Linked DNA regions of Xenopus tropicalis. The main gene of each other region encodes a partner of the protein of the gene in region 5 in a complex. Links are inferred from orthologs where the notes say so. Each region holds a gene or a part of one and is shown on either strand. Other genes may lie near its edges. The genes, in order: arid4a, mybl1, lin52, mybl2, rbl1, e2f5 and lin9.

Region 1 (4,231 bases), on a different chromosome or scaffold from region 5:
AAAAAAAGAAATGTTTTTTTATATACCATTTGATTGGAATCCTTGGCTGATAAATGTTTTTCTTCTTTTAGGGGAGGAGAAGGTGTGCATTCAATGCGTTTTCTGTTGTGACGGATGTTGAGGACAGTGACACTAGAAAGGACAACAACAAGGAAAACAAGGATATTGAGGAAGACCTGAACAAAACAGAGGAAAAGGAGGAAGATGAAAGCACTCCTGTGCGAAGGAGCTTACAGTGCCGAGCAAAAGGAGATCAGAAAACCAAAAAGCAAGATGAGTCAGAAAGAGAATCTGATGAAGATGATGAAAAACCATGTGAAGGGTAAATAAGTCATTAATATCACTATGCAAATGTTGGTGCACCAATCTGTAGCCATTCAGAACTCAATAAAGCCCCATTATGGACACCAGCAAAATACATGATACTGGCCTCAAAGTCTAGTCTCGCCCAGTGATTTAAGAAAATCGTTGGTTCCTTGTGTAGAGCTATTTTGGAAAGAAACCTTTTCTGCTTGTCAGCATTCTGGTTAGTTTTCATGCACAGTATTGATGAGATTGATAGATGGCCTTGTTTATTGTTTTTATAGAAAAGAGGATTCTGAGCACAAGGGAGAGACTGAAGAAGAGGATGAAGACACAGAGGATCGAGACTATCTCGCTGGAACTAAAGTTAAAGTGAAGTATGGGCGTGGGAAAACTCAGAAAATTTATGAGGCAAATATAAAAAGCACGGAAGTGGATGGAGGAGAGCTATTATACCTGGTTCATTATTATGGCTGGAATGTAAGGTAAGTGTGAAGAATGTAGCTTTTTTTATTGTCCATATGTGCCCCACCAAAGTATTAATTTGATTATTTGTATGCTGCCAACTATTACTCAGTTTGGTCAAAACATCTAATTTCTGTCAACCCCAGGTAACCAGTTGGGAGAAACGTTTTGAATGGTGTTAATTTTTAATTCTTAATCTCAGTATGGCTCATTTTACTTCGCAAATGCAGTAGCTTTGTTTTTTCCCCACAGTGCACCATTTCTTCCCAGAATTCCAATGACATTGCAGTTGCAAGGGGGCAATGTGCTTGCAGCAGTTACACAGCAACTGCAGTTACATCTGGTTTGCCAGAATTAATGCAACTGTGCATGCATTTTCCAAATTGGATGGAATTGCACAGAAGGGAGTCTGGCCTCATTTGCAGGGATCAGCAAGTGACACCTGCACCTTGTTCTAAAGGCGCAACTTACTGCACCTATTGACACAGGAGCTACCGCATGGTCAGGAGGTGCCAGTAGTGCCAGGAATCCCCTCCGTTAATAGGTGCAGCAGCACTACATGAATCGAAAAAAGTGAAAGCAGGAAGGAACTGGAGCCATTGTCAACACTGGGTCACATTCAGTCTGTTCAGACAAGATTTTGGAAAGCACAGGCTAAATAAAAATTCCTCTTGACACTGGCAGTCAATACACCCCATCTGATATTATACTTGGAGGTTTTATAAACCACAGCTAGGCTTAGCTTATTCCTTTTGCTTTCAATGTTTACACTTTGTTATCTAAGAGGCAATGTCCTACAGCATATAGTTTTGTTTCAGTAGCATGATAATGTACTCTCTTGCAGATATGATGAATGGGTAAAAGCTGACAGAATCATCTGGCCTTCAGACAAGGGTGGACCAAAGAAAAAGCAAAAGAAAAAAACAAAAGTAATTACAAAACAATTTTTTTTTTAATTAACCATTTACCATGTTCCATGAGTCTTTCTGCTTAAAAAGTGAGGAATAAACCATACAAATTTTAGAGGGCCAGAACAACCCCTTTTTGAAAATATGTTTATCTTGTCTGTGGATTTTTCTGAGTCTTTAATTTATATACATTATTTATTTTAATTTATTATTTCCCTGCCAGAATAAAGATGAAAATGAAGAAAAGAAAGAGGATGATAAGCGATCAAAACGAGGCCGTCCTCCTTTAAAGTCAGCTCATCAGACTAATATGACCTGTGGTCTGCCAAAAACTCCGACTAGCGAGGGCAAGACATCCGTTAAAAACATGAGAAATAGCTTATCGGATAGCTCCTCATTATCAAATGGGCTAGAAGGTAAATGTAGTGCAAATAAAAGTCATAATGAAGGGCTTAGGTTACAAGCATTGTTTAAAATGTATACTGTTTGTTCATATGTATTTTCATTTTACTTAGTTATTATATTTTCCTTTGTATAATAGGATCAGCCAGGAGAAGAACAAGGAGGAGCTCTGGATTATATGATTCTGACAGATGCTCAAATGGTGGGTATTGGGTAACCAGAGCATTTTCATTATGACTTTTATAGCTACCACATATTTTGATAGTATTTTAGTAGTTCTTGCACACCCAGTTGTCATTCTTTGATTATTTTTCGGTATATCACATTCTTTTGATATTGTTTTTGCTGAATAATACCCACTTGAGAATAGAAACAAAATCCTAGATGAGACCCATAATCAGTAAATAGCTTATGAGTTTAATGAGTTTATTGGAATACTCAAAGAAGAGGGTAAGCTATAAGATGGGTACAGCCTAATCTTTCGAGTAATAGGCTATTTACAAACAACCTATATCTTTGAGTGGACAGATGTCTAACATTCTAGCCAGAACATTACTTCCTACTTTCAGCTTTCTAACCTCTTAAGCTGGCCATACACGCACCGATAATATCGTACGAAACCCCGTTTCGTATGATATTCAGTATGTGTATGGCGAGTCGACTGATATCGCAAGAGGCTGCTGATATCGGTCGACTCGCCGATCGGCCAGGTTAGAAGGCGCCTGATCAAAATCTGCCTTAAGGGCTGAATCGGCAGAAGGAGGTAGAAATCCTATTGTTTCTACCTCCTTATCTGTGGCCGACCGATGGTCGCACGAAAGATCGGAAATCGCCACGTGTGTGGCCACCTTTAGTCAGTGACTTTAGGGGGGGGCCACATGGGACATAACTGTTCATTTAGTTTGTGAGCATGAAGGTCAGATTCAAATGCAAACTAACTAAACAGGTATGTCCTTTATGGCCCCCCTCAAGTCAATGATTGGTTACTGACTGCTAACGGCTTAGAAAGCTGTAAAGGAGGAAGTAGAGCTCTGGCCATTATGTTAGGCAAAAATATAATCTATAAAGGCAGATGTCTATCTATATTGAAAACTTTTATATTTTACCCAGTTTCATTTTAATACTGAACTGCTCCTTTAACCTTTATGATTGCACTTTTTAAACCAACATGATGGCTTCTCTAATTAGTTTGAATTTTTGGTGGCTTATTCTGCCATTTTGTTAAGAAACATGTAGTCTGTTACTGTTTTCAGTTAAGATCCAAATAATCATAGCCATAAATGTAGCTTAAGCTCTAGAGCAAAAAAAACATGTTGCTCACACAAAAATAGCGTTGCTCACATCTTTTGACCAATCAGACATGATTATGTCATGGTAAGCATACTAAAAGCAACACTATACAGATCATGAAACAGAAATGTGCCTGATCCTTATTATGCAAACGGATGCATTTATTCTTATATTAATGTTACATGGAGTTGTTATAAGCTTTTATAAGCTATAGAATGACTAAGCACTGTTAAGAAGAATAATTTGATCCTTATTAATATATTTATTAATATGCCTTAAACATTTTGAATTACCAGCAAAGACATTTTTACAATTCAGTTTTATTTCAAAAGATATCATTAACATGCCTCTTCTAACTCTTGTTTATTATTTCCCATCCCAGACTCAAGCACATCTGAAAGTGAATCTGATGAAACATCAGAAAAGGCATCAGTAAAAGAGGAGGAGGTCCTACCAAAGGCTGAAGAAGAACCAGAGAACATTTTAAGCCTAGTTGATATCAGTCCTGTAAAGGAAGTGCCGCCAGTAATTTGTCTTCTAAAAGATCCGGAACACAGTCCAACAAAGCCAGCAGAAACTTTAAAACAAGAAGTGGAGGAAAGTGAACAAATCGTTCAGATTTACGGAAAGCAAACAGAAGAATTGGAAGAAATAAAGGAGGCAGAACATCTGCCAAAGTCCAAGGGAAGGAGAAGTAAAACAAAAGATTCTTCTGTAGAGAACACAAAATGTTTGTCAGCAACTCAGGAAGATACATTGGTTGAGCCTCATGTGGAAGAGGACACGTTAGACCTTCCATCATTATCCCCTTTACAAAGTAAGGAGCTGCCGTTCACTCCAAAGGAAGCAGAACTTCCGAATGA
Region 2 (3,458 bases), on a different chromosome or scaffold from region 5:
CAGCTGTAAATAGTACACACAGAAGGTATTATGGCAAACAAACTAGAACACAAAACAATTAAGGCTTTCTTCATTCAGTGTGGTTGTTTGTTGAATTACTTACAACCTAAATACAGGACAGTTAAAAGAAGAACATTTCTGGCAAAAAATCTAAAAATACTAACTGGTGCAGAAAACTATTTAAATTACCAAGGGCACTTAGATACCTTTGCAATGTTACATAGCAAAAGGAATGCTTATTTGTCCCTCAACTGATGATTATGTGCAGAAGTCTCTTTTTTTTGCTACCATTTTTTTGCTACCAGTATGTCAGACTTTATGACCAAGTTTAACTCACAAGTTGATGTACATTGGTACTTTATTTTCTACCGGGCTGTTAACAAAACAACAATCCATAATGCCTTTGTATTATCAGAATGGGAATACACTTCCTACGTCTTTCCTAATGATACCTTTGGGGGAGAGACAAGACCGAAAGTGCAATGTGAGCACTGAAACTCAAAAAGGAAATGTAACACAAAGGAAAAATTACATTCCTGCCATGAGAAATGTCAAGGTGCAAAGTTCTGTGCAGGTATGTTGCATTTCCTTCAGTCATTCTTAATGACAGAGGGTATAATGTCCCAAGAAGACTTTAATCTGAAAGCAGTAATCTATACTGAAAGCATGAATCCCATACAAGCATATGCTACAAAAGAGTGCTATGATGTCACCATCCATTGAATGTAGCAGAATAAAAGAGGTGTTTCTAGAAGGGGATTCCAGATAGCTAATATAAACCCTTATAGAAAAACACAGTGGGAATTGTACATCTGAACAGCTTATGGCTGAGCAGAAATATCAGTGCTTCTGTCTCTGACATCTGAACAGCAAATAGATCTTAGATCAGTTGAATGCTTGCATCCTTGGTTTGTATGAAACAAGAAATACACAGGATACAGGTTCTACAAATGTTATAATATACACATATAATACACAGAGCTGTATAATATATCTTAATAAACTCTGCTTTAGTGATGTCATTAGTTATAATCAGTTCTTGGTGATGTCAATGAATAATGTTGTACACCAAATAGGTATTATATGTATTATAAAAGCTAATTTACCTCTGCACAAAAATATGATGAGTTTTATGATTTACAAAAATGCTTTTATGGTCATCCAACTACTCTGTATATAATTTACAATAAGGGATACACTATTTACTATACAGGTATGGTATTCGTTATCCGGAAACCCATTATTCAGAAAGCAGCCGGGAAGGCCATCTTCGATAGACTCAATTTTAATCAAATAATTTACATTTTTAAAAATGATTTCTTTTTTCCCTGTAATAATAAAACAGTAACTTGTACTTGATCCCAACTAAGATATAATTAATGCTTACTGGAGGCAAAATCATCCTATTTGGGTTTGTTTAATGTTAAAATAATGTTTTAGTAGACTTATGGAGTTCCAGATTCTGGAAAGACCCATTATCCAGAAGACCCCAGGTCCCGAGCATTCTGGGTAACAGGTCCTATACCTGTAGTATAATCTGATTTTGATTTTTTATCTAATAGTATGAAGATCCAAATTACAGAAAGTTTTTGGAAAACCCCAGGTCCTATACCCGTATAATTCTGTGTGTGTAAGCAGTAATGGCTCTTCATTGTTATGCATAAATATAAGCTTCTTTCCATTTTAATAATGACCCAAGAAGTGCAACAGAGGATGGTGATTGTACTCCATTTCTTACAGTGCCACATTTCTTGATCAATATTGAATAGCAATACTTTAAATCTATATTTATAATAGCAGCTATTTTTTATTTTTATTGGAGTGCTGGTTTATCGCAGCATTATTGTTTTATGTATAAATATGTATTAAAGCATCTTCTAATGTGAAATGCACACCTCTGCTGGGATATAAACAGAAGTATAAGCTAATCAGTCCTAAGTCACCTGAGTCACCACTGTATTTGCTTGTTGCTTACAATTGTGTATTTGCCTTTCAGCCTCTCTGCGAATGGGAAACAGTTGTATATGGGAAGACAGAAGACCAAGTAATCATGACAGAGCAAGCAAGGAGATACCTTGATACCTACAAACAAGCTTCCAGCTCTGGATTAAGGCACCTAATTTTATGAATGTTGGATGATAACTGGTGATGCCAGTTGCCCCCTTTTTTACACAGTGCACTATAATTGTTAATATTTTACTTATTAATTGTACAGTAGAACTTTGTATTATATCATAGAAGTTTTATTTAGTATTGCTTTAAAAAGAAACTTTAGAGGTTTTTATAGGCTCTGTAGATTTGAAGTTAAGATCCATCCTGAGCAAAACTAGAGTATAACCAGAAAATGTTGTCTTTATTCATTAGCTGGCTTAGGTGAGAACACTACAGGCATAGTTCTCTAGGTGAGTTGTTTAATTGTAAAAATAAGGATTTTTCTTTTCAACATGCTGACAGCCACATAAGACATGTATATTTTTCTGCATCTTCAGTACCAAAACTTATAACAATTTACGACATTTTAATGACATATATAGATTTATATGTGCCACATAGGAGTGATTTCTGCTGTATTTGACTTTTTAGTCTGTCTCCTTGGATTTTTTAATACCAAAACAGATCATAATTTGAAGACTTTATAGAGTGATTATGGTCAGCCAGCTTCTTCATATGAGCCTCTTGCTGGCTATGTATGAGTTTGCCTAACCAGAGAGTTCAGCAACTGCCTTATCTTTTCATAAATGACTTTAAAGTTATTGGGAAAGGCTGTCAAATAGGCTAAGAAGCTTTCTTCTTTCTGGAACCTACTCCTACTTTTCAAAGAGCATCAAAGATGTCTTTTGAAGCTGTTTTAAAGAGTTTTAAAAGATAGACAAGTGATATCATTTACATATTTACAGTAAATCAATAATGAAAAAAGTCCACCTTTGTTTAAATGTTACAGAAGGTACAGATACAGTCAACTCCTTTATGTATTTATTACGACAAATCCTTTTGTAATAGATTTTCATACTAAGACTTTTTTTATGCTCGTTATGTGTGTGTTTGTGGCCAATGTCTCCAAAAGTCTGGTACTTCATTTAGTTGTCAGGAAGGTCAAGCAGTTGCACTAATAGAATTCTGTACAGTGAATAAGAACCCAGCAAAATACTAGTGTTATTGATATTTATGTATACATGGGTACTTACAATTTAGGTAACCAACAAGGGAATTTTGTCTTTCTGAGATAGAATGTATCAGTATTTGTTTCTCAGGCTGAGAAATGTGATAGGATGTTTGAATGTATTTTACAGGGTGTGGGAACATGATGAGATTTTCCCCCTGCATCGCTTCATGCTTGCAGGTATAGGCCATTGTCTATATACATGCAGGTTTGTGACCATTTCCTTATTGTTCCTTGTTTAGCAGCTGCTCCAGACCTTTTACAGTTCTGCCTGCTTTACATGCATGGCCAACATGAC
Region 3 (4,724 bases), on a different chromosome or scaffold from region 5:
GAAAACGTTTGCTGATTAACAGCTTAAAGGAACAGTAACACCAAAAAATATATATATTTTAAAGAAATTAAACTATAATGTACTGGACTGGTAAAAGTTTTGTGTTTGCTTCAGAAACACTACTAGAGTTTATATAAACCCTGGTGTGTAGCCATGGGGGCAGCCATTCAAAAGAAGAAAAGGCACAGGTTATATAGCAGCTAACAGATAAACCCTGTAGAATACAATGGTGTCTTATCTGTTATCTGCTATGTACCCTGTGCCTTTTCTCCTTTTTTCCAGCTTCAATGGCTGCCCCCATGGCTACACAGCAGCTTATTTATATAAACTATAGTAGTGTTCCTGAAGCAAACACCCCAGTTTTACCAGTGCAGGGCCACAGTATGTTATATTTCAATTACTTTAAAACACTTTCATTTTTTGGTGTTACTGTTCCTTTAAATGCCAAAACTATTTTTGAATAGTCAACTAAGTGAAATCTTGTGACTTTGTGACCTTAGCTACTTACTTCCCACTGGTTTTAAAGGGGCAGTGTCACCTCTAGCTCAAAATCAGATCAATAAATAGTATGGTGTTTGTTTATACAAAGCTTATTGGCCCTATTTAAACTCAGTTGATAGCGGTTAAAATAGGTAGATAAAGTAAAAACTAAATAATAATACATAAGTATACTATATTATACATACATTCTATTTATCTTGCTTGTGTTGAAAAAAGTGTAAAGTTCATTTTTTTGTTTTAATCATTGTATTAGTATTCAAGAAAACATACAGGTGAACGTGGAATCTCATTCAAAATAGAGAGATCATAAAAGGTAAGCATTGAAAAGTAAACAATTACAATCTTACATAAAACTAATTGTAATAATATTTAATATATTAAAGTTACTAGAGTTCAAGAAAAAATTTGTGCCAAGTATTATTTTCATGGCTAGGATTACGTATAGTAGGAATCCATTTTAATGATAAAGGATGTCATGTATCTTATCTCTTTCCTTATTTTCCAAGCTTTGCAAATATTTTCCATTTTGATGTAAATTTTAAATGGTGTTTTCAAGCTATCGAATCTGAAATGAATAGTTTCATTTTTACAAAGATTTAGTTCTGCTTAAATGTCAGTGAATGAGGGAGGGGAGGACTCAATCCACTATTTAAATATAACTCTTTTAGCTGCAACCAAAGTCAATTTGATGTAATTCAGAATGTGGAGAATTCCAGTCTTTAGACTTGCCTGTGATTAAGTGCATCTTTAAACAGAGCTCTTTTCCATTTAAAAGTTGGATCTAGGCTACAAACCATCCAGTGTGATATGTAAAAGCATGTACTAACAGCTAAGTAAATAAAGTGTTTGGGTCATATGAACAAATCCATTAGTACAAATGAAAATCTCTATGAATTTCACTCATTAAAGGATGATAAAAGCTAAAATCATTGGCAGGCTCCAATTTGTTAGTCATCCCCCCATGATTATATTTACAGAGCAGAGACCCAAAGCTTGCATTTTTTCTGCAGAGTGTGCCATAACCATTTTTCCCTGCTCTTTCCAAAGCTCCTCTATTGCCCTGGGTAAGCAGAGTCCAGTAATTGTTCAGTGAGTTTTGTACTGTGCACAATGTGAACAACTTCTCTTGTTGATGATTACAATCATGGGGGGTGGCTGACAACTTGGCAACCCCAGTGAATTTTGCTAGCATTGTGTTTTAAGAAGGTATCATGCTTGCAAACCATGCTTACTACTTGCAGAGTATAATTTGAGAAAAAAAATACGTAAAAGCCACACAACAGGTTAAAACTGGTATAATTCCCCTTGTAAACTATAGCTGTGAATGCGTTCAAAGGGAAAAAAACAAGTTAAATTGAGCGTTATCCATTAACTATTGCAAGTAAACTCTCACTCATACCCCACAAAGATCTCAGCACATAGATTTGAGGTAACAAAAACAGTATAGACCTTTGCTCAAACGAAGTAAAATAAAGAGGACATATACTCTTGCTATTCTTTTAAAAGATAAAAAAAATCTTATTTTGGTAGGGTTCTGTTATAAAGTACCTCACTCTTCCTAAACCTGTATGCAGGAGAGTTTATTTCTGCAAGGTTTTACTTCTTCTGCTCTTACTGTATCTTTTTTTCTGTTACCATTTTCAAGTCACTCCCACCTGTAGGTATAGACTGGCTATCTGTGGATCCAGGGGAATGCCAGATGGGCTGCTGTTAGATGCCAGACATTTATTAGCCAGGTGGGGGCTGTTTGGGCATTACACCAAAAGGACATTACACCAAAAGGATCTAGGCTATTCATACAAAACAAGCTAGATTTTAACTTTTCTTGTTGGCAAGGTGTATTCACAAGAATACATTTTCACACACTAGAGTAACCAAGTAGCATTGTGGTAAAGTGGTCGGAATTCTTGCCCTTCTGTGTTAGGGTTCTGGGTTCAACTCACAAAGCTTTTACACAAATTTTTTACATGTATGTTGATAGGAAGAGTTTGGGTTTACGTAGTATACTTTGGGTCATTAGGATTAGGCTAGACTGTATAATACTTTTTTCATGAGCGTGAATATCTCGTATATAATTTTGGGACATTAGGTTTGTGATTATGATAATGTTTAGCTAAAATAAAGCACTCTTTTCTTTAATTGCCTTTAGTAGCTTGATCACTGAGCTATATCCACACTAGGATCTAACAGCTTTACGCATGTGCACTATGCTACATTCGTCTATGAGTAGTAGTATTTAGGTTAATGTCTGTACATTGGCAACATCCCAAATTGTGCAAGTACACCTTCCTACAAACTAGACGAAGCCGAAGGCTTGTACACTTTCCACCTGATGTCAATAGGAAGCCTTATTACATGTGAAAAGTAAAAGAAGGATCAGTTCATTGTCTGCGGCTAATTATTGACATGGCTAGGGATCACCAGAGCAGCACAGAACATCGCAATGCATTCACTGTTATTTTCAAGGTTTAATGATAAACTCCCAGTACTTTCTCGACAGAGTAACCATGCGCAGCGGGAACACACATCGGCTTTACCCTGCTGCTAGAAGCAATTATCGGATACATATATGTAGAATACTTTCCTCTAAGCCCATTAGTGTACCTACAAATTAAAAACAACCGCTTACCATCCGTAACTGCCGCCATTTTCTCACTTGTCACGTGACAGAAATAGACTTAAACATTCCATCTTGGTACACCCAATTTGACGCTCTATACTTAAGCGCCATATTGCTGCACCCACCCATAGCTTACACAAACGTCTATTTTTTAAAGACTAAAGTTAACTTGTACAATAATGTTTTAACCATTAAGGCATGGTGCGATGCACTGCCTTTTTGCTACATCACTTTCCAGACACCAAGAAGGCGTCATGTTCCTACACATTTTGTCGATCGTAAAAATGGCAAATAGCGGTGAAGATCCAAGAGTCATCACGTGACAAATATGAGCCAATCAAGGCACACATAGTAGGGCACCAGTCGGTCAAACCTTGAGTTAGCGCACAATCGGTCACTATTTCTGGCAGGCCAATAGGAAACACTTTTTAAGGGGCCGTGGCATCATCAGCCAATGGCGGGGTAGAGGTGTGGCTTCTTGTCATTCAGTCTCTGAGAAGCTCAGGGATTCTGAAGGAAGCATGATGCGGATCAGAGGAATAGTGAGGGTGAGTGTGGGCTAGTACATTGACATGAGTGAGTGGGGGAGAGAATATCCCCAGGTACCCAAAATAAATGGGTGTTCCCAATAGACGAATGAAACTATATTATGAAGGTGCTATTTTACAAGCAGGGCTACGTTGATATGCGCGGATAAAGGAGGCTGGGATTAAGAGACTGATGGTCGGTAGTGACTCAGTGTTGGGGGTAGTAAATTGGGCCCCTGCATTAGAATTTTGCACCGGAGAGGATGGGTCACTGCCCTTTCTCTAGAGGCCTTCATAGTTCGTGTATTGGTATGCCCAGCCCAGGCCTTGCCAAAAGTCTTGGAAGGAAACTAAGATTCAAGTAGTGAACCAAATAGTGTGAGGATTGATCTGGTATTCCTATTGATTAATATTAATCTGATATACTCCTTTGTTAAGTTTTGGATAATTTACTTTGCAAAATTTGGTGCTTTGTTGGGCTGCATATCATTGCACATGAACACTCCCATGTATATAAGGCGATATATCAGATATTCCCAGTGGGTGCTTAATAATGTTCAGTGCTATGCAGCTTATGCTGAGATCCTAATAAGAAGGTATACTTCAGAAAAATACCTATATGGACTTGCACACTGATTGCCAGCAGTAGGTTATGTGGGCATTGTTGGCAGCTAATGCCTGCTTTGTGCTATATATTAGCATAGGAATGGATAAACTGTTGATTATCTAGGGCATGTGTGAAACACAAGGCCCGCGGGCCGAATCCAGCCCGCCTGGCTGTTTTATGTGGCCGATGGTGACTGTGTCTGAACATGCAGCACCTATCACCTGACATCACTGCTCCAGTCCCAGTGGTGCTGCACGGTCAGGCATGGTTGACCCTCAACTTGGCCTGTGTTTTAGATTTCGGCCCCTTATGTGATTGAGTTTGACACCCATGATCTAGGGCTACCTTTATGGGTGATGATGCCTGCATTCTGGGTAGTGCAACAGGATGAATAATTGGAATACTTTTAAAGGAGAAGAAAAGTTATTTTGGCATTTTACTGCCAACAGATTTGCCACATTATTGCCAC
Region 4 (4,962 bases), about 2.5 Mb from region 5:
TCAGATATACTTTAACAGCAGAAGACCTACTTTATATGAGGTTTTTATCCTATTGGTGTATGTTGAAGACACCAACTGACATTTCACACATTTTTGCCTAGATGTCAGCCCTAATGCAGTCGTGCACCAAAAGAATCACAAGCTGATGCTGCTTTAATGCCCAGTGCCAGAACCGATGCAGTTCCCATGACTTGCACTTGATTTTTATATGCGCAATTGCTTTAGCTTTGTCATGTTGGGACAAATGCAGTGGCTACAACTCCCAGCGCTGTTACAGTTGTGTAGGGATTCCAGCAAAAAGCTGCATTGCGGATAAAAACCAAATAGGAAAATTGCACTTGCTCACTAAGCTGCGTTTCTATAAGACTTATAAAGCATGGTGAAATGTAAGATTTACACTGAAGGGATGATGGAACTTACAGTAAGGTTACTGGCAATCACCTTCCATTCACTCTGTCCATGCTTCTTCACCAAGGCTTTTAGCGTCTCATCCTAATGAAACAGAACAAAATGGAAACAATAATTAATACCTTACTGGGGGAAACACGGACGGGAGCAATTTTTACGCATGACCTAATACTGGGGAGTGACATCCCTGTACTATTTTATGTAAATAGTATCACCAACATATAAGACCCCCAGAGGATGACAGAGATGTCAGTCACAGTAAGAAGTCCAAAGACCAGCACTGGAGGGACAGAAGGGTTCTCATCCAGCCCTAGGCAAGAGATAAGGACTCTGGATTGTATTGCTCTAGCAATACATCTAATTGCATACTGTACCTCTTCTGGGGTCCACTTCACTTTGACCCTGCTTTCCTTTGGCTCCGGGACATCAGAGTCTGTGTCCTGATATTGCAAATCCTCAAGATCATCTCTGTATGGGTTAAAGAAAAAATTATTATTAGTATTTAGTCAACATGCAACAGTGTCCCAGAAATAAGCACAGGTTCAGCATATGGAAAGAGGCAGCATTACTCAAAGCACCCAGGGAATAGGGTGTCTGTTAATCTAGCAAAACAAGGATTAAAAAAAAAAAAAAAAAAAACCAGGGTGCCATGAGGGTGGCCACTACTCCAAATGCGAAGGTCGAACTTTCCAGCAACCCCTCTCCAGCTTGCTTTTGGAGATATCACATAGGGGCTGGGTCAACTAGAAAGGGGGGTGGGGTGGAATTCAGCTTGGGAAAGCAAAGGATCCTACATGTGGCACATAGCTGGGACAGAACACAAGGTTACAGGCAGAAACATGAACAAAAAAAAAAAAAAAAAAAAAAGAGAAAACTGTGCACTAGGGAAGTCATCCTTGGGTTTTACTTAAGCGTCTGATAAGTGCATTATATTTCTGTAAATGCAGTCAATGTAGGTGGGTTGCAAAGGGGAGAAGTGTGAAGGTGGGGGAGGGAGTTGTAATCAGCATGACATCCTGAGGCACCTTTACACAAAAAGTGTAGTGTTCCTAGATATACAAGAAAGAAATTACTAAGAATCTAAGGAAATATGGCCGACAAAAACTTCTTTCTCTTTAAGAAGGGTTATAAATGAGGAGCAGAGACAGGCAAACAAGCACAGGGAGGCTGCAGAACGTGGCGCTCAGCTGGAATGGAGCACTGAGAGAGCAGGGACAAACCCAGCTGGAGAGTCACAAGTTAACCTCCTGGCGCAATAAGACAAAAGCCAAAACAAAAGGGGTCGTTGGGGGCCAGCTGTGCACAAACATAGCATTACTGAAGGTCTGAGAAGTACTGGGAAATGTGGGAAGCACAGGGAGAGAAATATGGGGTAGTAGGGCAGATATGCATGCCCTGAAGTGTATGGAAAGCCAAAGGAAAACTCTCAGAGGGAGGACAGTGGAAGCTTCATAGGAAAGTGCAAATGGGGGTGGGGGAGAGCGGACAATGGGGCAATGCACGGAAGCCCACTCGGGGTGGACATGGAAAGTCCTTATGGGGAGACAGAACAAGGGAAGTAAAGAGAAGGCTAGAAAGATAATAGACAAAAACAAGGGTTGGCAATACTAGCTGGGGAGAGAGCTGAGGGGGCAACAGTGATGGGCAGCTGGGGAGAGAGGTGAGGGGTGACAGTGATGGGCAGCTGGGGGAGTACAGGGAAGGGCAGACTGGGGAGAGAGCTGGGGGGTAGAGGGAAGGGCAGACTGGGGAGAGAGCTGAGGGGGTAGAGGGAAGGGGAGACCGGGGAAAGAGCTGAGGGGGTACAGGGAAGGGGAGACCGGGGAAAGAGCTGAGGGGGTACAGGGAAGGGGAGACCGGGGAGAGAGCTGGGGGGTAGAGGGAAGGGCAGACTGGGGAGAGAGCTGGGGGGTAGAGGGAAGGGCAGACTGGGGAGAGAGCTGGGGGGTAGAGGGAAGGGCAGACTGGGGAGAGAGCTGGGGGGTAGAGGGAAGGGCAGACTGGGGAGAGAGCTGAGGGGGTAGAGGGAAGGGGAGACTGGGGAGAGAGCTGGGGGGTAGAGGGAAGGGCAGACTGGGGAGAGAGCTGGGGGGTAGAGGGAAGGGGAGACTGGGGAGAGAGCAAAGAGCCCAGCTGTGGAGAGAGAAGCAGTAGAATAGTTTAGCTATAGTTTAGGCATGTGGAACCGACAGAGAAGCCCAACTAGACAGGAAAGTCCAGAATGGGGGAAGTTAGTAAATCCAGAGAAGGCCAATAGGTGAGAGCCCGGCAAGGCCAGGGCAGAGGCAAGGCCAGGGCAGAGGCAAGGCCAGGGCAGAGGCAAGGCCAGGGCAGAGGCAAGGCCAGGGCAGAGGCAAGGCCAGGGCAGAGGCCAGGGCAGGGGCAAGGCCAGGGCAGGTGCCAGGGCAGAGGCAAGGCCAGGGCAGAGGCAAGGCCAGGGCAGAGGCAAGGCCAGGGCAGAGGCAAGGCCAGGGTAAGGGCGATAACACAGGGCAGGGAGGAGGCGCAGAACTGAAAGCGCAAAGCAGACGCCCAGTGACTGGCACCTACTCAAAAGTAGTAAGAAAAGGCCGCCGGGTTCTAAAGTAGTAGCTGTGCCCGTATGTGCAGCCCCACTGCCCCACCCGTTAGTGCCAGGCTCACCCGCGGGCCCGCCGGGACATCCTGCCGCTCCGGACACTTCAGTGCGCAGTCTGTGGCGGTATTGTTATTTCCTATCTCCCGCCAGCTGCGCACGCACCCACAGAACTCCCTTTCCGGGGCGGAACCCACTCCCTGGGCGGGGCCTACAGCCCATACGGAGGCGCTCTAGGTGCCTGTCACTTCTATATGTGGGGAGGGCCATGCGTCCGGTTTTAACCAATGAACAGCAAGCGCACTGATGTCAGCGATTTCCCGGCGACCAATCAAAGCTAGAAATGAGGGACAGCTTCTGGCGCCTATTACGTTTTGTAACAACCCGAGTGACAGAGGATTCTAAAAATTTCCAGACTAGACAGTCATTTCCTCTTAGTTTTGGCGACGGTAGCGTTAAGCCATGCATTTTAAGTGGGGTTTACGCTGACATCACCACCTCAGATTTGCTATGAGTGTATAGGTTTTTGAACATTAAATTTGAACTGCTGCCTGGTTACTAGAATGGGAGTTCCCTAGCAACAAACATAGAAGTATAATAATAATAATGAAATGGAACCTTCACAGTCAGTCTGTTTTTCAGTTACCTAGGTAACCTTGACAACTAAGCAATTGCAGGCTGGAAAAAAAATAGAATGGAAATATAAATAAAACAAAAAAAACCTGAAATGTTTATTAGGTACTTCTACAGGACTGCCATTGGCTGGCTACAAGTGGTATTGCTGAGGGGGGGTGGGGTATGTGCTCAAATATAACCTCTCCTGAACCCAGTCTGAGCAGCATGGCTTAGGAGTGACTGCCCAGTAGTGGAAAGAACCCTCAGTAAAGGCAGAAATTATATCACTTTCCCTTCCACCCTCTGCAACTGGGAACAGGGGGAGCAAAATGGAACTTCTATATGAGAGAGAAGACTGGGGGAAACCATAACTGAGATGGAGGAAGGTTATAAAGTAGACAGTGAAGATAAATGGAGAGGTGTTAGGTTAGGAAGACGTTATGGGGGTACAGCAGGGATGTCTCTATAACAAATACAAATTTAATGTAACAGTTAACATTCCCTTGAAACATGGCTCTCACATTCCTCAGTATCCAGCATCCCTATGAGCTGGTCTGGCCTAACAACTACAAGTGAGGAATGGGATAATTGGATAATGGGTGGGGTCACAAGGCGAGATTGATTGGCTACTTAACCTCCTAAAACACTATATAAAAGGCTACTTGCCTGGAAGCCAGAATAAATCATTTAGAGGAAATCTATCAGGGAAGGTAAGTGGCTGCACAAAGGGAATCAAGTTGGTGGTGTGTCGCGTAATTGTTACTAGGGCTTAGTACAAACCCATATTGTGTTGCTGTGTGAAGGTGCTGGCATGTTTAGTAATTTAACCATTTTGTTGGCCAGGTGATTAACAGAGACATAGATAGGTGCTGAGATGCTTGCCATTCATTTGAATGCCAGTTGGCTGTTGTATGCACAAATGGCTTTGGAAGCTGAGATGTTTTATATGTTTTCCTTTGTCTGTTTTGGGTAAACTTTGTTGTTCTTTGTTTAATATGTTGGAGGCAAAAATACATGTTGGAATATTTGACTTTCATCAAGCAATATGCTGTTTGAGGGGACCAGGACTGGGATACAAAATATGTTCCAAGTACATAGAGACCCAAACAGCCCCCTTATGGCATCTTACAGCAGCCCCACATTTGTCTGGATCTACAAATTACCAGTCTGCGCCTGGACTGGCCTGTGACTTCCCAATAGTAAAACTACTACAACAACATAGACTTACTCACATTCCCTGTTCTGCAACCCTACAACAGGCATCCCTTGCAACATTTCCCATTTAAAGAATAGTAACAACCTGCTACACCTGCAGTGATTTTTCACACTTGGGAGTATTGTGTGTTGTTATCCTAACTGCCCTA
Region 5 (3,079 bases):
CCTTTGAATGGCTGCCCCCATGGCTACACAGCAGCTTACTTATATAAACTATAGTAGTCTTTCTGAGGCAAACACCAGTTGTAGCAATGCAGGGCAACAGTACATTATATTGTTATTACTTTTATACACTTTCATTTTTTGGTGTTACTGTTCCTTTAAGTCATTCAACGTTAATTGCCTTAGGGGGCATCTAAAGAGGCCAGGATTCTAGAACTGCATACATGTTCAATTTGAAAGTGAGTGTATAGTCATCCCAAGTTAACAGCAATACTTTAGCTAGGTATCAAGCCCTGTTTGATCTACATGAGCAATTGAGATGATTACTTTGCTTAAGCCCTCTGCTCTATTATTAAGTGCCCGCACCTGTTGCCAAAGTTGCGCCAGTTTGTCCGGTACTCGGTGGACCACGTCCTCCAAGTCGGATCACCAAAGCTAAGCACAGGTTGTGTGGTCTCTGCAGGTTTTGGAAGTTCTGGCACAGCAGGGAGAGGTCTGCCTTGATCATTTTGAGTTGCGTGGTGACCAAAGTGTGGATCCCGTTAATTGCAGCTAGCAGGCCAGCATTAGAAGGATCGGGAGTTGTGTTTGCGGGTGCGGGCTGTTCAGAAAATGATGGAAGGTGGGTCCGCATCTGCAGCCTTGTGTGCAGTCATTGTAAACTGCGGTAGAAATTCTCATTTTGCTGGATGCTGCTAATCACCATAGAGAGTGCACCCTCAGGCCAGGGATTCTTAAACTTTAGGTTGGGATCATAAAATGGGTCCCCAGGCTGTTTAACATTGGCTGTCCATGACCCCTGCACCCCATTATGGATACTGATTGGTTCATCAGCTGGGCAACAGAGTATGGCAAATAGGCAGATGAGGAATTGTAGTTACAGCTCCTCCACACTTTGTTATTCCAACTGTTTAGGCTTTCAGCCCCACCAAAAGAAGTCAGTACAAGTACCCAGTAATAGTAGGGACCTTTTTATTTTACATATTTACACATAGGCATATTACATATACATTTATATACTATAACCTTCAGCCTACACTATTGTGGTACACCTGCAGCTCCATTTCAGGCAGATGCTTCATTGGTCTGTTGCAAGGATCTGGGGCTGCATAGATTTCATTCCTCCTCTCTTATTTGGTGTACCATATATAATGTAAAAGTCAGAATTGTGAATAGGATGCTTCAAGAAGATTCATCTGAATGGAAGTGACATTGTAATGTACAATAAAACGTTATGTACAGAGATTTAAAAAGGTGCCAGCAAACCATAAAAAGGTGTAGATGCTACACAATTTCATTCAGCTCAAAAAAGCACAGCAAAGATTCACATCAAAGGGTTTCATTTTACGCTAGGAATAAAAAGATAAAATGGCTGCACGCAGATAGAGCAGGAAAAACCCAGCACAGAAAATGCACTGCCAAATATTTCTACTCCTTTTCCCTGGAGTCCGTAAAATGACTGTATAAACACAGCGCAACGCTGGAAAATCCAAGATTTTGTTGCCAGATCTTGATTGAACTCAATCTGTAAGTTCATACATTACAATAAAAAGAATCTCCATTAATGCTTTTGGAGCAAAAAGAACACTTAAAAAGGAACAATAAAAACTGTATGCTGCGCTGCTGAAAGCTAGTGTTCATAAAATTAAAAGTCTATAGTTAAAAAATGTACTCATGAAGCTTTGCTTTGTATCAGTAAAATGCTACTGCAGGTAATGAAATAGAATTCAGTCCACTAGGGGGCGCCTCCACCGGCAGTATTATTACAGCTCACAACATTCAACCCTGATGAACTCAGTAAGCCATATATGTTTCATATAAAGGCAAAACTGAGGAACGATAGACTTTCCTTTATCACAATAGGTTAAAAATATCATGTTAAGAAAAAAATAGATAAAACCATGGAAACGGCAGGGCAGTTGTCCCATCACGACTGACCACGTGGCTAAGGCTTTTGGCCAACTGCAGTGATTGAGATTGCAGACAGTAGCTAGCAAACAGTGTACAATATCATACGTGCAAGAAGAGTCTCCAACACCTAATGGAACTCGGGGGCCCAGTTGGAAGGGTACTGACCCGAGACTTGCCTAAAATGTAGCTTTTTAATGGGCCGGAACCACAGAATGCCAATGGCCAGACTGCAGCTAATGGTTGGCCCTCTCACTCACGACATCCTGCAGGCGTTTCAGCAGAGCATCATCATTTTCCTGGCAGAGCCGCTTTGCCGGGGACTCCGTGTCGCTGTCAATAGCAATGATCCGCTTCCGGCTCCTCTGCTCCTGTTTCAGCATGCTGTTTATGTCCTGCAAGCTCTTCAATAAACAGAATATAATAAGTACAGAGTCCCTTTAATGTCAACCAATGCCACCAATCAAGCTCCCCTTTATTCTACTGTATAACTATAATCGGGATATAAACGTCCCCAGCAAGGGCACAACTTACTTTTGAAGGACTTCCATTAAACTTGTACAGGAGGGCTGTGTGGGGAGTCAGGCTGCCGCTGTTCTTATGGGGAGACACATAGATAGAATGCTGCTGGGATACTCGGCGGGGAGAAATAGCTTGTTGCTTGATGCTGGGAAATGGCGAAAGAGGCGGAGCATCCATCTAAAAAGAAAAAAATCACATCAAATGTATGGCCCATGCTATAAAAAGGAAAAGGACACCTTCACAATAACTTAATATGTTAAAGATAGATCAGTTTAGGTAACTTCATTATGATGATGGATGGCTGGTTGCCAAGGTCACTGACCCTGGCAACCAAACAGCTCAAGACAATTTTATTATTGCTTTTTTTCTAGGTCCTCTATCTGGGTGAAGACACAGGGGGCGATTAGTAATCTGCGTAGTGAAAACTCACGGGTGTTTAGTCGCAGCGACTTCTATTATAACCTATGGCAGAAAAGTCACTGCGATTAGTCACCGCAACAGACTTTTTAAAAAGTTGCGGCAACTAATCGCCCCATGTTTTTTCGCCCTTATACATCTCCCATTTTTATTTCAAGACTGCTCCCTCCTCTCTAGAGTAACTAACCCATAGAAATCATATAATAGATTCAATTGTTAGTTTCATTAACAAGCA
Region 6 (4,231 bases), on a different chromosome or scaffold from region 5:
AAAAAAAAAAGGATAATTTGGCCTTCTTGCAGCCTCCATTACCAAACATACTTGCCTACTGCCATTGCCCAAACTCCAAAGGGGAAGGGGCTAAGACATGTAAATTGAGTTCCAGCCAATTGGATTTAGGCCCAAACAATACTAGCTGCTGACACAGCGGGGGGAGAGCACTGTCTGAGCACCTCAGTCCAATATTTGTGGGCATGGGGAGGTGCAACAAAGAAGTGAGATTGGTAACATGTAGTTTATTAAAGTCATGGTGATACTTTTTTTGCTACAAAAGGGGCTTTAAAGTGCCCTCCATTCATTACTATAATAACCTCCTGCACACAAAGGTTAGTAATAATGGTCTGACCCACATGCGACAGAAAGTTAGTGGCCCTTGTGGAGTGCAGTCTAATTAAATTCCCAAGGTTCTTTCCAGACAGGAATATTGGCAAACTTTACTAACAAAGTAGATAAATGTAGGCCCCATATATATCTGCTCTTCATGCAAGCTTTCCCTAAGTATATACGGCCTCATCAGACTGCAGTCAGAATCCAGGAAGAGTGCGGATAGTGACATCGCATCTGGTCACAGACTGCAGCAAACAGACAGCAATAGAAGAGCTTAGATACAGCTGGAATAGTCACTCCGACTGCACTGGCATGGAAAAGCACAAGTACATGAGACCCAAACAGCCATTAGTTCTCACTCTCCGATTCAGCCACGTGACAAGAATTACACAGTTCAAAGATAAAAAATTGTGGAAGAATGGAACTGAAAACCGTAAAATGAATGCATTTTCAATTGAAACATAAATTTATGACAATCAAGGATTTAAAAAAAACAAAAAAAAAAGATTAGACTTCATCATTAAACCTGGAATATCATTCTCAGTATATCTACTTTCAAAGTGCAAAAAAATACGACCCTAGCCTATATACATGTATAGTACAAAGATCAACATTATGGATATTTTCCCTGCTAGTAGTAGGGCAGAGAGGTAGAGACTGGGAAAGGAAACCCCCCAAAACTGTGCCTAATAATTTAATATCTGCACATCAAAGAGATCACAGACACCTTCGTTGTCATCCAAATTGAAGCTGTAGTCATCTGGAGTTGGTGAAAGCCGTAACAACGGGAAAACTAGAGGGGGAAAAAAAAAAAAAAAAAAAAGAAGCTTTAAAAAATTTTTTTAAAAGGGATAGTTCACCAATAATTAACTATGATTCCAAGACAATCATCAATAGGTCTTTAGTTTTTGGTCAACTTTGAACTATTTAGTGCTGCAGTTTGGAATTTCAGCAGCTTGTTGCTAGGGTTCAATTTAACCTAGCAACCAGGCAGCGGTTTGAATGAGAGACTGGAAAATGAATAGGATACTGTCGGAATAGAAAGATAAGCAGTGGGGGGAAAAAAAAAAAAAGCAATAAAATTGTAGCCTCTCAAAGAAAGTTTTTTTGGTGCAGGGTCACTGACCCCCCATATGAAAAAAAAAAATAATAAAATGGTAAGAGGCAGAAGAAAAAGTAAATAATTAAAGTAAAACTATTATAGATGAATGTCAACTGAAAAGAGTTGAAGAATGTTATAAATATATATTAATGATAATAGAAAGGATAGAATATACTTAAGTTAATGTAAACTACCCTGTGACCCGTATATCATTCTAGTCAATATACATTCATTAAATTCAGTTGAAGTTATTTGGAAATTGCTATTGAAAGCATCTGGCTTTTGTCTGCACTGCTTCTTTACTCTGCACCCCACTATTACAGGTTCCCAGTATGGCCGCTGGTACGCACAGGGGCAGCATAGCCCATCATACAGCATGAGTGCAGTGAATACTAAACATCTTGTTATTAAAGCAATAAGATAAGTCGGTTTTTTGCCTGGAAACAGGGAAGTTGAAGCTACTACATGTTTGATTCATTTAAAGACAATTAGATTACCAACAACCAACCCCCACCCATAACTTTGTTGTGACCGTTTTGGCTTCCAGATCATCAGAAAAACATTATGCAGGGGTATTTATCTGGACACTGGAATTTGATTTACCTCACAAGGACCAAACACAAAGTAGCTTCATTTTCCCTGTTTAACTAAAGAAACAAAAAGACAAAGCCCTTTTGCAATTAAAACAATAGGCACAAGTATTATTCACATCTCATGTTTGGTGACTAGGAATATTCAGGCATTTTGCCACATGAGGGGGGGAGACAAATCCCACAGGCAAAGCACCCCAATGTGCTATCACCATGCCACAAGTTCTTGGGTACTATAGTTCAAACTATATATGAACTGTAGCCATGTTTGATCCCATAATAGTTCTTTGGTACTGCAGGTATTGCAGAACTGCATCGTGCTACCAGCTCAGCTAGTGGATGAATACGGTGAGTTATATTTCTGTAAAATCTAGGGGTGACAATAGTTACCTTCCTAAATCACACAACCGCAAAAGTGGTAAAGCACCACATTTTATAGAACTAAAGTTACCAGCATCGCCTTCCCACCAATAATGCTGACATTGGTAGAAGTTTAGAAATATTCAAGCCCTAAAGGCAACCTGTGTGAGAACATGGGTGTTACATACCATCAGAAGACATAAGCTCATCAATAAGGTCTCCGCTTATTTGACCTAGGCAACAAAGTACAGTAATGTAAAAGAGCAGATTTATGACAGAAAAAAAAGCTAAACTGAAATTAGAGATATGCTTCTTTGGCTTCATTAATGTTTCAGGCACAGAAAGCTACAACCTGGGCCCTCTTGCCAGAAGTAACGCACAGTATAGAGAGCTTACCTTCCTGCTCATCCATTTTCGTTATATCAAAGGCATTGGGTCTCAGAATACTATTAACATCCAGTGGAAGCAGAGGGGAATAGTCGCTGGAAGCGGCCGAGCTTTGTGCTACATCTGTTCCAAGTGCAGAATACAGAATGGACTCGGGAAGTTCAGGGTAAGAGCTTGATGTGTTCTCCTGCAGATCGCTGGCTGGGCACTCAGGATTTAATTTACCTAAAAAAATCAAATACAGCTCAAAATGACAAGAATGCCATCTCCCATAGACTCCATTTTAAATATTTCTCTGTAATAATAAAAAAGCACCTTGTCCTTGATCCCAACCAAGATAGACAAAACAATCCTACTGGGTTTACTTAATGTGTTATTGATTTTGTTTCAGTAAACTTAAAAGTATGACTATCCAAATTATAAAAAGCTCCATTATCCGGAAAACCCCAGGTTCCAGGATTTGTCTTAGACACAAGATGCAAAACATACCACTATAGTATCCTTTGGCAACCAAACATTTATTTCCAGGGGTGGGTCACCTTTAAGTTAAAGTTATAGTTTTTGAATTATTTGCCTTCCTCCTGCAGGGGTCAGAGTTCCCCAGTTTTCAAATATCCCCTGCAGTCCAAAAACTATTGCTCTGTGAAGCAAAAACGTAATTATTGTTACTTTTTCTGATCTTTTTATTTAGCCCCCTTCTATTTATATTCCACCCTCATTTAAATTATTGCCTGGTTGTTAGGGTAAAAAACTGGAGAGAACCGTTATTTAAGTGAGCATCATCATCTCAAAATCTTGTGTATGAGCCAGAATGGAGGTCTGATGCCCATGATACACACCGTGAGGAGGAAGGGGGAATGAGAGGAGTGCAGTGACATTTAGGAAAGGCAGAATGGAAAGTGAAACTAACTGCCTGTTCCACTACTATGCCTGAGGCACAGGCAGGACAGGCAATATATACAACATCTAAGAAAAAAAAAAAAAAGTATAATGTATTTCATATTTAATTTGAAAGGGACTTTTATTAAGTGCAAGGGAACATGGAGTGCAAATAAACATAACCACACTGCTGTGTTTGCACTCCATGGAAGCAATTAATAGCACAATGTAGGCGCTGTTTGTTGTTTTGATAGGAATGCTTGGCTTGCAGAAACACCACCCCTAATCCCACCCAAGACAGTGGGATGTTCCAGCTACCCAGCCAGCTGGCTGTGCTGTATTGGTTTATTTTGCTTTCCCCCCACCAGGGTCACTTCATTTTCACCAACTGCAAACAAAATGCATTACTCACCTGCAGCTGCCTGCTCTGTCAGGTTACTCTCTTGTTCTTCTTTTACACTGAGAGAGCTACTCTGTGCTGCTGGCTGTTTGTTTGAAGAGGCCGTAGCTTCAGGCTGTGAATTGGGTTGTGTAAGGTCATCCGGTGGAGGAACAGGAAAGACGACAGGCTTGGAGG
Region 7 (4,893 bases), on a different chromosome or scaffold from region 5:
ACAAGAGAATCTGTGTCTTTTGCACTGACTGGGAAGGTGGCCCTTACAGTAAGTACTGGGGGCCCCATAGCCCAGTGACTAGGAAGAAGGTGGCCCTTACAGATAGTACTAGGGATAGGCTGAGGGCCCCCCAGTGACTGCCATTAGGGGGAAGGCTGGGGCCCCCCAGTGACTGCCATTAGGGGGGGAAGGCTGGGGCCCCCCAGTGACTGCCATTAGGGGGGGAAGGCTGGGGCCCCCCAGTGACTGCCATTAGGGGGGGAAGGCTGGGGCCCCCCAGTGACTGCCATTAGGGGGGGAAGGCTGGGGCCCCCCAGTGACTGCCATTAGGGGGGGGAAGGCTGGGGCCCCCCAGTGACTGCCATTAGGGGGGGAAGGCTGGGGCCCCCCAGTGACTGCCATTAGGGGGGGAAGGCTGGGGCCCCCCAGTGACTGCCATTAGGGGGGGAAGGCTGGGGCCCCCCAGTGACTGCCATTAGGGGGGGAAGGCTGGGGCCCCCCAGTGACTGCCATTAGGGGGGAAGGCTGGGGCCCCCCAGTGACTGCCATTAGGGGGGAGGCTGGGGCCCCAGGACCCTAGGGGGCTGGGGCCCCCAGTGACTGCCATTAGGGGGGGAAGGCTGGGGCCCCCCAGTGACTGCCATTAGGGGGGGAAGGCTGGGGCCCCCCAGTGACTGCCATTAGGGGGGAAGGCTGGGGCCCCCCAGTGACTGCCATTAGGGGGGGAAGGCTGGGGCCCCCCAGTGACTGCCATTAGGGGGGGAAGGCTGGGGCCCCCCAGTGACTGCCATTAGGGGGGGAAGGCTGGGGGCCCCCCAGTGACTGCCATTAGGGGGGGAAGGCTGGGGCCCCCCAGTGACTGCCATTAGGGGGGGGAAGGCTGGGGCCCCCCAGTGACTGCCATTAGGGGGGGGAAGGCTGGGGCCCCCCAGTGACTGCCATTAGGGGGGGGAAGGCTGGGGCCCCCCAGTGACTGCCATTAGGGGGGGGAAGGCTGGGGCCCCCCAGTGACTGCCATTAGGGGGGGGAAGGCTGGGGCCCCCCAGTGACTGCCATTAGGGGGGGGAAGGCTGGGCCCCCAGTGACTGCCATTAGGGGGGGAAGGCTGGGGCCCCCCAGTGACTGCCATTAGGGGGGGGAAGGCTGGGGCCCCCCAGTGACTGCCATTAGGGGGGGAAGGCTGGGGCCCCCCAGTGACTGCCATTAGGGGGGGGAAGGCTGGGGCCCCCCAGTGACTGCCATTAGGGGGGGAAGGCTGGGGGCCCCCCAGTGACTGCCATTAGGGGGAAGGCTGGGGCCCCCCAGTGACTGCCATTAGGGGGAAGGCTGGGGCCCCCCAGTGGACTGCCATTAGGGGGAAGGCTGGGGCCCCCCAGTGACTGCCATTAGGGGGAAGGCTGGGGCCCCCCAGTGACTGCCATTAGGGGGAAGGCTGGGGCCCCCCAGTGACTGCCATTAGGGGGAAGGCTGGGGCCCCCCAGTGACTGCCATTAGGGGGAAGGCTGGGGCCCCCCAGTGACTGCCATTAGGGGGAAGGCTGGGGCCCCCCAGTGACTGCCATTAGGGGGAAGGCTGGGGCCCCCCAGTGACTGCCATTAGGGGGAAGGCTGGGGCCCCCCAGTGACTGCCATTAGGGGGAAGGCTGGGGCCCCCAGTGACTGCCATTAGGGGGAAGGCTGGGGCCCCCCAGTGACTGCCATTAGGGGGAAGGCTGGGGCCCCCCAGTGACTGCCATTAGGGGGAAGGCTGGGGCCCCCCAGTGACTGCCATTAGGGGGAAGGCTGGGGCCCCCAGTGACTGCCATTAGGGGGAAGGCTGGGGCCCCCCAGTGACTGCCATTAGGGGAAGGCTGGGGCCCCCCAGTGACTGCCATTAGGGGAAGGCTGGGGCCCCCCAGTGACTGCCATTAGGGGAAGGCTGGGGCCCCCCAGTGACTGCCATTAGGGGGGAGGCTGGGGCCCCCCAGTGACTGCCATTAGGGGGAAGGCTGGGCCCCCCAGTGACTGCCATTAGGGGAAGGCTGGGGCCCCCCAGTGACTGCCATTAGGGGAAGGCTGGGGCTCCCCAGTGACTGCCATTAGGGGGAAGGCTGGGGCCCCCCAGTGACTGCCATTAGGGGAAGGCTGGGGCTCCCCAGTGACTGCCATTAGGGGGAAGGCTGGGGCCCCCCAGTGACTGCCATTAGGGGGAAGGCGGGGCCCCCCAGTGACTGCCATTAGGGGGAAGGCTGGGGCCCCCCAGTGACTGCCATTAGGGGAAGGCTGGGCCCCCCAGTGACTGCCATTAGGGGAAGGCTGGGCCCCCCAGTGACTGCCATTAGGGGAAGGCTGGGGCCCCCCAGTGACTGCCATTAGGGGAAGGCTGGGCCCCCCAGTGACTGCCATTAGGGGAAGGCTGGGGCCCCCCAGTGACTGCCATTAGGGGAAGGCTGGGGCTCCCCAGTGACTGCCATTAGGGGGAAGGCTGGGCCCCCCAGTGACTGCCATTAGGGGAAGGCTGGGGCCCCCCAGTGACTGCCATTAGGGGAAGGCTGGGGCTCCCCAGTGACTGCCATTAGGGGGAAGGCTGGGGCCCCCCAGTGACTGCCATTAGGGGGAAGGCTGGGGCCCCCCAGTGACTGCCATTAGGGGGAAGGCTGGGCCCCCCAGTGACTGCCATTAGGGGGAAGGCTGGGGCCCCCCAGTGACTGCCATTAGGGGAAGGCTGGGGGCCCCCCAGTGACTGCCATTAGGGGAAGGCTGGGCCCCCCAGTGACTGCCATTAGGGGAAGGCTGGGGCCCCCCAGTGACTGCCATTAGGGGAAGGCTGGGGCCCCCCAGTGACTGCCATTAGGGGAAGGCTGGGCCCCCCAGTGACTGCCATTAGGGGGAAGGCTGGGGGCCCATAACACAGGGAACCCAGGGGCAGGGATATGAGAGTAAGGGACACACACAGCAGGGCGCTGGGAGAAGACAGGGCTGCTGGGACCGGGGGCCCCTGTATAATAACCACCAGCGAATAGAAGGGCCACTCGCACCCCGAGTTCCCGGCAGCCTGCCCGCTCCCTATGGAGCCTTCACCCCGCTACTGACAGGAGCAGCCCGGCTCTCACCTTCTTCCTCTGCCAGCAGCTCCAGCGGCCGAGCCTCTTCCGCCTCATTCCCGGGCCCGGCGGGGCTCCTGACCGATTTCATGCGCTTCATGGCGGCCTCCCAGGGACTCAAGGGCTGGGGAAGCCTCCGCTCGGTTTGAACTCCCCTCTCTGCGCCGCCATTCGGGCTCCGGATCGCGTTGCTGGGCGAGAACGTGACGTCAGTGACAAACAGTGCGTGCGCGTACCCGCCTCAGGCGCCATTTTGTGCGCGGCCAAGAAATCTTACAGGCGCGCCCCCTTCATAGTAACGGGACGGGGTTGCACCGCCGGGTATAGCGGCTCTCACAGGGGCTTTATGTGGGATGGTGGGACCTGTAGTTCGTTAAAAGTGAGGCTTGAAGCTGTTTCTGGACTACAAGTCCCATCATCCCACAGTGGTTGTGTCCCTGAGAGGGGGCTGTGGGGATTCTGTGGAGCATTATTGCTGGAACGCTACTGGCGCTCTGGTATTTACAGTAAAACTCACATTTACATTCCCCGAGGGGTTCCTTATAATATATAGTGAATAAAGTACCCCCTATTGTAACATATAGGGATATTATAAGCCCCCGAGGAGTTCCTTATAATATATAGTGAATAAAGTGCCCCCTATTGTAACATATAGGGATATTATAAGCCCCCGAGGGGTTCCTTATAATATATAGTGAATAAAGTACCCCCTATTGTAACATATAGGGATATTATAAGCCCCAGAGGAGTTCCTTATAATATATAGTGAATAAAGTACCCCCTATTGTAACATATAGGGATATTATAAGCCCCCGAGGAGTTCCTTATAATATATAGTGAATAAAGTGCCCCCTATTGTAACATATAGGGATATTATAAGCCCCAGAGGAGTTCCTTATAATATATAGTGAATAAAGTACCCCCTATTGTAACATATAGGGATATTATAAGCCCCCGAGGAGTTCCTTATAATATATAGTGAATAAAGTGCCCCCTATTGTAACATATAGGGATATTATAAGCCCCCGAGGAATTCCTTATAATATATAGTGAATAAAGTACCCCCTATTGTAACATATAGGGATATTATAAGCCCCAGAGGAGTTCCTTATAATATATAGTGAATAAAGTGCCCCCTATTGTAACATATAGGGATATTATAAGCCCCCGAGGGGTTCCTTATAATATATAGTGAATAAAGTGCCCCCTATTGTAACATATAGGGATATTATAAGCCCCCGAGGAGTTCCTTATAATATATAGTGAATAAAGTGCCCCCTATTGTAACATATAGGGATATTATAAGTTCGCAAGGGGTTACTTATAATATATAGCGAATAAAGTACCCCCTATTGTAACATATAGGGATATTATTGTACAAGTCATGGAACTCCCAAGGTGACTTCTAATATCCCCATATTTTACCACAGAGGATACTTTTTTTTATTATAATATACAAGTTTTAGTGAGTTGTGGCAGAAATTGCATCACTAAGCTCCCATAGGGAAATTACCAAACGGTATATTATATAATAATACTGCCACAGATGAGCTAGTCAGGTTGTATTTTGCCAGATGTTGGTCAGCAATGGACCCATGAGAGCAACACCTGAGTCAGACACCCCTGATATTCTAACAGCCCTGTACCTTGCCAAACGCACCCACATAGTAGGGCAGGGTGATCAAAGTCAGCCAAACTGTCTGGCTAAATATGTAATAGTGATTGCAAAGTTTAATCCAATAGATACTAGGCCGACGTGCATCGTCGCTACACAGATTTTCACACCTCCCCAAAGACGAAGGGTAAGACAC

What was found.
Region 1: the proteins of rbl1 (region 5) and arid4a are in contact, whole or in part, in a crystal structure (PDB 7SMC), measured with the Homo sapiens proteins. The link is inferred for Xenopus tropicalis from reciprocal best matches to the Homo sapiens genes RBL1 and ARID4A. Residues at the interface, in NP_002886.2 of Homo sapiens: Tyr849, Ile850, Lys853, Val854, Thr860, Phe861, Gln862, Met865, Lys866, Arg869, Tyr879, Arg880, Asp929, Leu930, Ile931, Tyr934, Asn935, Val939, Ala946, Leu947; in NP_002883.3 of Homo sapiens: Leu957, Val958, Cys959, His960, Glu961, Val962, Asp963, Leu964, Asp965, Asp966, Leu967.
Region 2: rbl1 (region 5) and mybl1 share a complex: the UniProt entries of both Homo sapiens proteins name them as parts of the DREAM complex. The link is inferred for Xenopus tropicalis from reciprocal best matches to the Homo sapiens genes RBL1 and MYBL1.
Region 3: rbl1 (region 5) and lin52 share a complex: the UniProt entries of both Homo sapiens proteins name them as parts of the DREAM complex. The link is inferred for Xenopus tropicalis from reciprocal best matches to the Homo sapiens genes RBL1 and LIN52.
Region 4: rbl1 (region 5) and mybl2 share a complex: the UniProt entries of both Homo sapiens proteins name them as parts of the DREAM complex. The link is inferred for Xenopus tropicalis from reciprocal best matches to the Homo sapiens genes RBL1 and MYBL2.
Region 6: the proteins of rbl1 (region 5) and e2f5 are in contact, whole or in part, in a crystal structure (PDB 5TUV), measured with the Homo sapiens proteins. The link is inferred for Xenopus tropicalis from reciprocal best matches to the Homo sapiens genes RBL1 and E2F5. Residues at the interface, in NP_002886.2 of Homo sapiens: Ser1000, Ala1001, Leu1002, Leu1003, Tyr1004, Lys1005, Phe1006, Asn1007, Ile1017, Met1020, Ile1021, Gly1024, Glu1025; in NP_001942.2 of Homo sapiens: Met162, Ile190, Ala192, Pro193, Ser194, Gly195, Thr196, Gln197, Leu198, Glu199, Val200, Pro201, Ile202, Pro203, Glu204, Met205, Tyr213, Leu217.
Region 7: rbl1 (region 5) and lin9 share a complex: the UniProt entries of both Homo sapiens proteins name them as parts of the DREAM complex. The link is inferred for Xenopus tropicalis from reciprocal best matches to the Homo sapiens genes RBL1 and LIN9.

What each region holds. Positions count from the first base shown.
Region 1 is NC_030684.2:103,522,402-103,526,632, reverse strand, and holds part of arid4a (AT-rich interactive domain-containing protein 4A), read left to right. Parts: intron 1-71; coding exon 72-322; intron 323-587; coding exon 588-788; intron 789-1,612; coding exon 1,613-1,697; intron 1,698-1,899; coding exon 1,900-2,092; intron 2,093-2,217; coding exon 2,218-2,280; intron 2,281-3,750; coding exon 3,751-4,231.
Region 2 is NC_030682.2:118,972,284-118,975,741, reverse strand, and holds part of mybl1 (myb-related protein A), read left to right. Parts: intron 1-415; coding exon 416-574; intron 575-1,996; coding exon 1,997-2,128; 3' UTR 2,129-3,458. UniProt on the Homo sapiens protein: Transcription factor that specifically recognizes the sequence 5'-YAAC[GT]G-3'.
Region 3 is NC_030684.2:81,969,043-81,973,766, reverse strand, and holds the start of lin52 (protein lin-52 homolog), read right to left. Parts: upstream 3,165-4,724; 5' UTR 3,150-3,164; coding exon 3,131-3,149; intron 1-3,130. Other genes in the region: aldh6a1 (methylmalonate-semialdehyde dehydrogenase [acylating], mitochondrial), read left to right, coding at 3,643-3,669.
Region 4 is NC_030686.2:39,923,942-39,928,903, reverse strand, and holds the start of mybl2 (myb-related protein B), read right to left. Parts: upstream 3,213-4,962; 5' UTR 3,072-3,212; coding exon 3,052-3,071; intron 877-3,051; coding exon 783-876; intron 493-782; coding exon 421-492; intron 1-420. UniProt on the Homo sapiens protein: Transcription factor involved in the regulation of cell survival, proliferation, and differentiation. Transactivates the expression of the CLU gene.
Region 5 is NC_030686.2:42,375,461-42,378,539, reverse strand, and holds the end of rbl1 (retinoblastoma-like protein 1), read right to left. Parts: intron 2,605-3,079; coding exon 2,440-2,604; intron 2,310-2,439; coding exon 2,142-2,309; 3' UTR 953-2,141; downstream 1-952. UniProt on the Homo sapiens protein: Key regulator of entry into cell division. Directly involved in heterochromatin formation by maintaining overall chromatin structure and, in particular, that of constitutive heterochromatin by stabilizing histone methylation.
Region 6 is NC_030682.2:125,177,896-125,182,126, reverse strand, and holds part of e2f5 (transcription factor E2F5), read right to left. Parts: coding exon 4,067-4,231; intron 3,001-4,066; coding exon 2,785-3,000; intron 2,622-2,784; coding exon 2,577-2,621; intron 1,130-2,576; coding exon 1,023-1,129; 3' UTR 1-1,022.
Region 7 is NC_030681.2:8,015,244-8,020,136, reverse strand, and holds the start of lin9 (protein lin-9 homolog), read right to left. Parts: upstream 3,370-4,893; 5' UTR 3,183-3,369; coding exon 3,092-3,182; intron 1-3,091. UniProt on the Homo sapiens protein: Acts as a tumor suppressor. Inhibits DNA synthesis. Its ability to inhibit oncogenic transformation is mediated through its association with RB1. Plays a role in the expression of genes required for the G1/S transition.